Caenorhabditis elegans: one gene and its partner. The protein of the gene in region 1 interacts with the protein of each later gene in a pairwise test. Each region holds a gene or a part of one and is shown on either strand. Other genes may lie near its edges.

What was found.
Region 2: the proteins of Y105E8A.21 (region 1) and cdap-2 interact in a two-hybrid assay, tested with the Caenorhabditis elegans proteins (one large-scale study listed by BioGRID).

The regions. Positions count from the first base shown.
Region 1 is NC_003279.8:14,507,276-14,512,116, reverse strand, and holds the start of Y105E8A.21 (C2H2-type domain-containing protein), read left to right. Parts: upstream 1-1,564; 5' UTR 1,565-1,577; coding exon 1,578-1,760; intron 1,761-3,358; coding exon 3,359-3,742; intron 3,743-4,841.
Region 2 is NC_003279.8:3,327,515-3,332,708, reverse strand, and holds the start of cdap-2 (SH3 domain-containing protein), read left to right. Parts: upstream 1-2,035; 5' UTR 2,036-2,097; coding exon 2,098-2,115; intron 2,116-2,766; coding exon 2,767-2,869; intron 2,870-3,672; coding exon 3,673-4,016; intron 4,017-4,627; coding exon 4,628-4,831; intron 4,832-5,194.

The DNA of each region.
Region 1 (4,841 bases):
GAAAATTTGCAGATTTTCGCTGTTAAAACCGAAAAAAAATTACAAAATTTCCAATTTTTTCGGGAAAAAAACGGAAAAAATCAGAAAATTTCCAGATTTTTCCAAAAAATACCGGCAATATCTGAAAATTTCATTTTTTTTTTTGCAAAAATACTGGAATAATCAAAGTATTTCCAACGTTTCTATCTGAAAAATCAGAAAATTTTCCAATTTTTTTGCAAAAAAAAACGTGAAATGTATTAAATTTCCAGAATTTCCCAAAATTTTTCACAAAATTTCCAATTTTTCCAACTTTTTTCAACAAAAAAAATCCGAAAAATCTGTCATTTAAAGAGCAAAAAAATGTTTTTCCGCGAAAAAAACTGTCTAACTCTCTATTTCTCTTCTCTCTCTCTCTCTCCCCACCCACACACACACACACACATCTATCTCATTTTATTTCCATTCCGGCCTTCCCCCTCCACAAAAAGAACCAACGATCGATTTTTTTGAAAAGCATAATATTTTCCCGTTATTTATATATTTATCTTTTTTTTTCTATTTTTTGACTGAAATTATACCCAATTTGCTCAATTTTGACTGAAAATTCGACGCAATTCTCCCCATATTTTTTTCTAATTTTTTTTTTGCGAATTTTATCTCTCTTGCCATTATTATTTTGTTAATAAATAAACCCCCATTTATTGATTTTTTTTTTTTTGAAAAATTTGAATTTTCCGCTTTTTTTTTTGGACTCGGTTTTCTTTGATTTCCAACTAACTTTATTTTATTTCATATTTTTTTCCTGTTTTTTTCCCCGTTTTTACGATTTCTGCAGAAAATTTGAATTAAAAACTGCAAAAATTGGATTTTTCGGCGAAAAAATCTAAAAATTCGAGTTTATTTTCTGGAAATTGGTAATTTTTAAAAGAAATCTGATTTTTTATGGAAAAAAGTAACAAATCCCGATTTTCTTGTAGAAAAATCAAAAATATCATTTTTGAATGAAAAAAAGCGAAAAAAACCGTGTTTTTTTTCCGAAAAATGGAAAAAATCTCAGATTTCCCTTGAAAAAATGATAAATTTGAATTTTTCAATAAGAAAATGCGAAAAATTCCGATTTTTTGTTGAAAAATAGTTTTAAAAAATCCAATTTTCTCGTACAACTATTAATTTTCCGCAAAAAAAAATCGAAAATTATTGCATTTTTTCGCAAAAATTGTAACAAATTCCGATTTTCTTTTGAAAAACTCCAATTTTTCTTGAAATTAATCGCAAATTTCCAATTTTCTCTCGAAAAACTTCAAATTTTCAGCAATTTTCCCAGAAAAACTTTAAAAATTCAATTTTTCCGGAAAAACTTCAAAAAGATCCAATTTTCCCGGAAAAACTTTTAAAAACTCCAATTTTTCCCGGAAAAACTTCAAAAAATTCCAATTTTCCCGGAAAAACTTCAAAAAATTCCAATTTTCCCGGAAAAACTTCAAAAAATTCCAATTTTTCCGGAAAACTTTGAAAAAATCCAATTTTCCGTGAAATTAATCGTAAATTTCCCAAATTTTCCGGAAAAACTTCAAATTTTCAGGCATTTTCCAAAAATGGCTCCACCAAAACGAAGAAGCACCCGTCCAACAACTCCAGCAGCTCCTACAGATCCACCAATTGAAGAAAAAAAGCCGGATCTTCTGATCGCCTACGATTCGGACGAGAAATTCGTGTTCTCCTTCAGCGAAGAGGGTCTCACAGCGAAAGAATGCGCTGAAAAAATGAACGGATTCAGTGTAAGAACATGGTGCTCGCGGAGCACAAATTCTACTGAAAATTCCGGTTTTTTGTCTTAAAAAAAACTGAATATTGCTTCAAATTCTGCTATTTTCACTTGGAAAATGCCGATTTTGCTGAAAAATTCCGCGAATTCAAACGAATTTCAAGAAATTTCCAATATTCTGGACGGAAAAACACACGGAAAACTGAATTTTATCTAAAAATTCACTCTATTATGCAAAAAAAATCCAATTTTTCTGAAATTTTCCGCTGGGAAAATACCGAAAAATACTCAAATTTTGCAGAAATTCTGGGATTTCAACTTGAAAAGTCCCAATTTTTGCAATTTTTCCAGTTTTCCACGCTTTGGAGCACATGAAAAATTGAATCTTCTTCTGAAAATTCTGCAATTTTTTCGCAAACAATGCTCAAAAACATTACTTTAAAAACCCAATTTCTCAAGAAAAAACTGCAATTTTAAGTTTTTCAGGCTTATATAAAAAACTGACTTTTGCATGAAAAATTCTCCGATTAAAAATTGGAAAATTAAAAAAAAAACATTTTTTGCCTCAAATTTAAATCAAAAAATATCAATTTTTGCTAAAAAAAACCGAAAAAAATCCATTTTGGTCCAAAAAAATCCATTTTTGCCAAAAAAAAAAACCAAAAAAAATCTAGTTTTTGGGCCAAAAAAACCAAAAAAAATCCATTTTCTGATTCAAAAAAAAAAAAAACAAAAAAACATTTTTTCGCCTTAAAGAAACTAGAAAAAAAATTCATTTTTGGTCCAAAAAAACCAAAAAAAAATTAATTCTTTGTCAAAAAAAATGGCTAAAAAAGTTTTCTCCTCAATTACAAGCTGTTTTAACACTTAAGAGATTGAAAAATAAAATCTAATTATTATTTTTTTTTTCACAAAAAATATACGGAAAACTGAATTTTTGCATTAAAAAAAAGCGAAAAAAACTGCATTTTTGAGTCGATATATCAAAATATCTGCTAAAAATATCATCAAAATATTTTTTTCGAGTTTTTAATCGGAAATTTCAATTTTCTTTCTTTTTCCCTGGAAAAAAAGCATTTTTGCCGAAAAAAATACCAACCAAAAAAAAAGTCAATTTTTTGGTCCAAAAAACTTTAAAAAATTAATTTTTGTCAAAAAAAAATTCTTTAAACAATCCTTTTTTTGGTCCAAAAAAAACAACAAAAAGAAACCAAATGGTCCAAAAAAACCAAAAAAAATCCATTTATTGGTCCAAAAAAATAAAAATAAAAAATTTATCCAAAAAACCAAAACAAAAAATTCCATTTTTGATCCATAAATACCAAAAAAAAATCCATTTTTTTGAGCTAAAAAAACCAAAAAATCCATTTTTGGTTAAAAAAAAAAACCAACAAAAAAAATCCATTTTTGGGCTAAAAATACCAAAAAAAATTAATTTTTGGTCCAAAAAACACCGAAAAGAATTTTTTGATTAAAAAAAATCCATTTCTGCCAAAAAAAACCAAAAAAATCTAGTTTTCGGGGAAATAAAAAACAATTTTTTAAGTAAAAAAAACCAAAAAATGCCTTTTTTTTGTTTAATTTCCCATCTAAAAAGTTCCAATTTTTCAGACAAAAGAGCAATTTCTGACAGAAGTCCACGTGGATGAGATGCTCCGTTTCCTAACAAAAGTGATAATTGGAAGAAAAGGAGAACCACTGAAATGTCTATGCTGTGATCGTTTATATGTTTCATCGTCTGGATTCTTAATTCACATTAAAAAATGCTCAACAAAAAATGAGCAAGATCGTCTAACAGATGCTCAGAATAAATATCGAAATGAGCCGAGTAAATGGTTAAATGTTCGAAAAAAGGATCAAATTGCCACGTTGAAGACAATTGTTGGAACTAATTACACGTGTTTTATGATTGGATGTTCACTGAATTTTGGATCTTTGAAAGATCTTATTGAACATCTTGCAACATGTATTGGAGCTGATTATTATAGTTATAAGGTTCGGGGTTTTCCCAAATTTTCCGAGAAAATTTGGATAATTTTGAATTTTTTTTAAATCGGAAATTCAAAAAAAAAATTCTGGGAGAATCCGGAATTTTCCTGATTTTTTCAGTGTCTTTTTTTTGAAATAATCGGACAATTTTCAGATTTTTTCTGAGAAAATCCGGGATTTTTCATATATTCGAGCACTATTATAGTTATAAGGTTAGACTTTTTGAGAAAATTGGGAGTTTTCCCAAAATTTCCGGCGTTTTTCTGAGAAAATCTAAAAATCGTTCAATTTTATCGAATTTTTACCAAAAACAGAAGAAAAAACATAAATTTTGTCTAAAAATAAAAAAAAAACCCCCGTTTTTTTCCGAAATTTTTCGGTGATTTTCAACAAAAAATCTGGAATTTTTCCTTTTCCCAGTGATTTACAGACAAAATCCACGGATTTTTCCGTTTTTCGGTCAGATTTTTGGAAAAAAATATCGATTTTTCAAAATTTTGAGAAATTATCGATATTTTTGTTAAAACATTATTTTTTACACCAGCTTTTTGACAAAAAAATGTCTAGGAGAGTCGAGAATTTTTCCGATTTTTTTCGTGTTTTTCTGGAAAAATCGGACAATTTTCCGATTTTTTCTGAGAAATTACGGGATTTTTAGGTTTTTTTCATATATTCGAGCACTATTTTAGTTATGAGGTTCGGTTTTCCGACAAAAATTGGATTATTTTTTCGATTTTTATGAATCGAATCGAGAAATTCGAAAAAGAAATTCTGGGAGTTTTCCTGCCAAAATCAGAACCATTTTTGACTTTTTTCGGGGAAAAATCCAGAAATTTTTGATTTTCCTAGAATAATCTGGAATTTTTCTGATCTTTTGGTGTTTTTCTTACTTAGACAATCGTAATTTTGCGGAAATCTCCCGAATTTTCCAGTGTTTTTCTGAGAAAATGTGGCCAATTTTCTTCATTTTTTTTAATCCAAAATTCGAAAAAAGATTCCCGATTTTTTCAGTGATTTTATAACAAAAAAAAATTTCGGTTTTTTTTTTGCGCGATTTTTGTGATTTTCCAGTTATTTCTGACAAAAAAAATAAACCGATTTTTTT
Region 2 (5,194 bases), about 11 Mb from region 1:
GTCTGTTACAAAAATTTCCTGACGGGGTTTTTTTTTTATTTTAGGAGAGTAATTAGGTTACACAAAGTTATCCCACACAGACACACCCAGTTAGATTGTTTCACAATTCATTTAGAACACTTCTGGAATGCATTTAACCCGGGGTTGGGCGGCAAATGATTTTTTTCCGGCAAATTGCAGGAATTGAAAATTTCCGGAAAATCGGCAATTTCCGAAAAATTTTGGCAAATTTTAGTTTTTTTTGTTGGAAAATTCAGAATTTCAATTTTGATCGGCAAAATTGTACGCATCCTATGAATGTTCCTGCCAGAGGTGTGCGGCAAATCTCAAAATTGGCCGAGCTCGGCAAATTCGGCAAATTTGCCGCACACCCCTGGTTCCTACATCAGTTTTGAAAAGCAAGCAAATTCTATGAAAATATTCAAAGAAAACGGGAAAAAATTTCAAAAAGGCACAGTTTTAAGTGTTTCCGTCTTATAAAAAATCCCTCTAAACATTTCCGGCAAATCAGCAAACCGGAAAATTGCCGGAATTCAAATATCCAGTAAATAGGCAATTTGCCGATTTGTCGAATTTGTCGACAAAAAAATTCGCGCGATGTTAAAATCGAAAAAAAAACTTTAAAAAATTGAGATTTTGTCAGTTTTCTGCATTTTCCCAAAAATTTCAAAAGCTTTACGGTTTTCAAAAAAAATAATCGAAAATCAGTTCGATTTTTTGGTCCAAAAATTTTTTTTTGGTTTTATTTCAAAAATATTTCGAAAAAATAAATTTTGAGTCCTTTTTATCAAAAACAAGCGCGAAAAATTGATTTTTTGAAGGAAAAAATTGAAAAATTCGATTAAAAAAGTGTTATTTTGATTTTTAGACAAAAAAGTCTCGAAAATCGATTTTTATTCAATTTTTCCACCAATAAAACGAGATTTTCTTATCCTTTCCAAAAATGGAAATCATTTATTGTGACCGTTATTACTGTAACACAAAACTCGTAAAAATGCGTATTCCGTAACATATTTGACGCTCAAAATATCTCGTAGCGGAAACTACAGTAATTCTTTAAATGACTACTGTAGCACTGGTGTCGATTTACGGGATCTCGATTCTTGACATGAAAAAAGTAGTTTCTTTGTATTACCTATTTTCTCACTTTTTGCTTAATTTTTAAATCTTAAATTAAATTATTTGAATTCATTTCAAAAATCGAGCCCGTAAATCGACACATGCGCTGCAGTAGTAATTTAAAGAATTACTGTAGTTTTCGCTACGAGATATTTTGAGCGTCAAATATGTTGTGCAATACGCATTCTCACAACTTCGTGTTACCGTGTAATATCCGTCATAATGAATGAGAAAGCGTGTCAAAAATTTGGAATTCTCACATTGTTTTCAATCTAAAAATTAAAATTACACTTTTAGTTCAAAAAATTCGATTTTTTTTCAATTTTCGTTTAAAAAACCGAGATTTTAATTTTTTTTTCTTTTCAAAAATTGAAATTTTACACCTTTTTTTTTCAAAAAAAATTTCGAAACTTTCACAATTTTTTCGCATTCTCAGAATTTTGCATTTTCGTATTATATATTCCTAAATATGTCATCTCGATCAAAATATAAATTTACGAGATTTTATTGTTTTGGCCGCGTTTTTTTCTGTTCACAGGTCATCAACGCATTGAAGAGGGGGGTGGGGGAGGGGGACACGTTCGAAAAGTGATTGATCTTTCCCGCGGCGGCGCTCGATAGGAGACACCACTGCGATGACTCATTCGGGGGAAACTCACACAATTGAAGAAGTGAAAATTGAAATTCACTCCACGTTTTTTTTCAAAATTTTTCTCCACATCTCCCCACTGATAACAGAAGTTTTTGACTTTATTGCCCCACATTTTCCACCATCACTGCACAAACAATTCCTTATCGATTTTCGCCTTTTTTTTTGGCCGTTGTTTGGTTTTTTGACGTTACCTTGGAAATCTTGAAAAAATCACAAAAGTCTTTATTTAATTTTAAAATTAAAAAAAATTGTGATTTTTTCCAGAATTGTATCCGAGAGCCGCCTTGAACTGTTTTTTTTGTTGGACACTCGCGGATCGAGGACAAATGGCACAAGTTGGTGAAGTTAGTATATTTCGTAATCTCTTTTTTTTTTTTTTTGGAAAATTGAGAAAATTGTCGAAAAAGTCATGAAAATTGCAAATTTTTTGGATAAAAAAAATGAGAAAATTGCCATTATTTGATTAAAAAAATTAAAAAATTCCGACTTTTTAGAAAAAATAATTCGATTTTTTAGTATTGAGATTTTTAAAAAAGTGTGAAAATTTTGTTTTTTTGCAAATAAAAAACATTTGAAACATTTCCGTTTTTGGAAAAAAAAATTGTAAAAATTAAGATTTTTGGGCAAAAAACGTAAAAATGTTATTTTTTGATTGAAAAGATTTAGAAAAATGCGATTTTTTTGTCAAAAACAATTGGTAAAAATAAGAGTTTTCGGAAAAAAAGTGTGAGAATTTTGATTTTTTTTTAAAAAAACAGATTGTAAAAATTATGATTTTTTGAAAAAAAAGTTACAATTTTTGGGATAAAAATATGGGAAATTTTGGGATTTTTTAGGAAAAGTGAAAATTTTTTATTTTTTCCAAGTAAATGTGTAAAAACTGCAATTTTTAAAGAAAACATATGTAAAACAAAAGAAAATCGGAAAATTGTGATTTTTTGAAAAAATAAAAGACTTCAGATTAAAATCTTTATCTAAAAATTGCCAATTTTCAGACAGAAGTAGTCGCTGGAAATGTGCGAGATATTGTGAATCGACTTTCCCGAGATATGACAAATCGAAATCCATTTACAGTACATCAACAGGTGGAACGGAGAGGTTTGTTTTAGAAAAAAGTTGGAAATTTTGAAAAAAAAACCGAAAAATTTGAGAATTTCAGTCGAAAAAATGAAAAAAAAACCGGAGATTTTCTCATTTGTGAAAATTTTTCTTTTTAAATGTTTCTAATTTTTAAAATTTAATCACGTTATTTCGAGCACCAAATCTTTAAAAAATCATGGAAATCGTGGCGAGACCCATTTAATCCAAAACCGGCGCCTTTAAAAAATGTTTGGATATTTTTTCAGTATGTATAATATTTGAAAACTGGAAGAAAAACTATTTTTGACGAATTTGAAAAAAAAGATAAAATTACAAGATTTTTGTAGAATTTAACTAGAAAAATGTTCAGATTGGCCGTTTTTTTGCTCCGAATTTTCTAGAGCTTTGGTCCGAGAAAATAGGAAAATTTCTCAAAAAGCTCTAGAAAATTCGGGGAAAAAACGGCCGATCTGAAAGTTTTTCCAATTAAATTCCACTAAAATCTTGTAGTTTTATTAATTTTTTTTCAAATTAAAAAAGATGTTTTTTTCTTCCAGTTTTCAATTATTATTATTATAACACTGAAAAAAAGATCCAAACATTTTTAAAGGCGCGGGGCTTGGATCGAATGGGTCCCGCCACGATTTTCGTGATTTTTTCACGATCTGGTGCTCAAAAACTCGTCGAGGGACAATATTAAAATAGCTCTAACAATTAAAAAAAAATCATGAAAATCCTGAAAAAAAATATCTAAAAAATTCGAAAAAAAAAATTAAAATTTGTGTAAATTTACAAAAAAATAATTTAAATATTTTTTGCAGCTCCCCCTCCACAACCACAAGCTCAAATATACGTGGCCACGTATGCCTACAGCTCAAAACAAGACGATGAGCTAAGCTTTGTCGTCGGAGATCTCATCGAACTGATCTCTGATGTTGAAGATGGCTGGAGTAAGGGAAAACTCAAGTCGACTGGAGCCGTCGGAATGTTCCCGACGAATTTTGTGACGTTGAAGCCTACGCCGAGCACATCTGCTGCTGCAGTTGCTCCAGCGGCTAGTGCATCAACTTCGGCGGGCTCAGCAGCTCGAACTCCGGCAAAATCGATTGGAAGTGAAGTTGTGATGAGAAGCGAGCCGAAAGCTATTGATAGAACTCCGTCGACGGTTCGTGTAGCGAAAAAAATCTGAAAAATCCCAAAAATACAGATTTTACTTAAATATCGGTGCCTGAGACATCAGTTTTTATGGCAAAAATTCAAATTTTTGGAAAAATTCAAATAATTTAAATAATTGAAAATCAACAATTTTTTGTCGATGAAATCCGGAAAATTGGCAATTGCCGGTTTGCCGACTTGCCGGAAATTACGATTCCGCCATTTTACCGATTTGCCGGAAATTTAAAAGTTCCGGCAATTTGCCTATTTGCCGATTTATTTTTTGATTTTCAGCTAATTTTTCATTCAAAAAATATAAATATCCAAACATTTTTTTTTTAATTTGTTCCAAAACTCTTTTTTTTCAGCTTTTAATTGTAAGTTTCTGGTTAGAAGTGAAAAAATTTTTTAATTAAAATTTGTTACATTACAATTTTTTATTAAAGTTATCTTCGACAAAAACAAAAAAAAACTGAAAAATTAAATTTTAAAAAACTGAAAAGAAAATAGTTTTTTTCCAATTAAAAAATTCCATAAATGGCTTCTCAGCACTTTATTCAAACATTTTTTAAATACAGAAACTGAAGAATTTCACTTAAATCAAATAAATCAAAATTTCAGATAATCTCGGACCCGGCTCCAGTGCTCAAAGCCTTGGAAACCAAATTCAGCAGCACATTTGCGAGCTCTGCAGCCTCGGCGAGCACAGACGCAGAAACTACGAAAACGAAAGAAATGGCTCGCGTGAAATTTGTCTACAATCCCCAACACGATGATGAGCTGGCTCTTAAGGAGATTGATATGCTGATTAATATTACAAACAAGGTGCAAATTCACTGAAATCGGAAAAAAAAATCAGGATTTCTGCAATTTTTAGATAAAAAGTTGGAAAATAAAATGGGAAAACCTTAAAAAATCGGCGAAAATTAAAATTTTGGGTTTTAAAATTGTTAAGTAAACTAATAAACTAATATATTTTCAAGCAAAAAAATTAAAAATTTGAGGAATTTATTCTACAAATTTCAAGTTTAAAGTCTAATTTTTTTTCCAAATTTTAGACTTTAAATTTGAAATTTGTAGATTAAAATCCCCAATTTTTAATTTTTTTTTTCATTATATTTGCTTGAAAACGTCATATTTATAATAAACTCCAACTGGAAAAATTATAAGTTTAACAGAATTTATCAA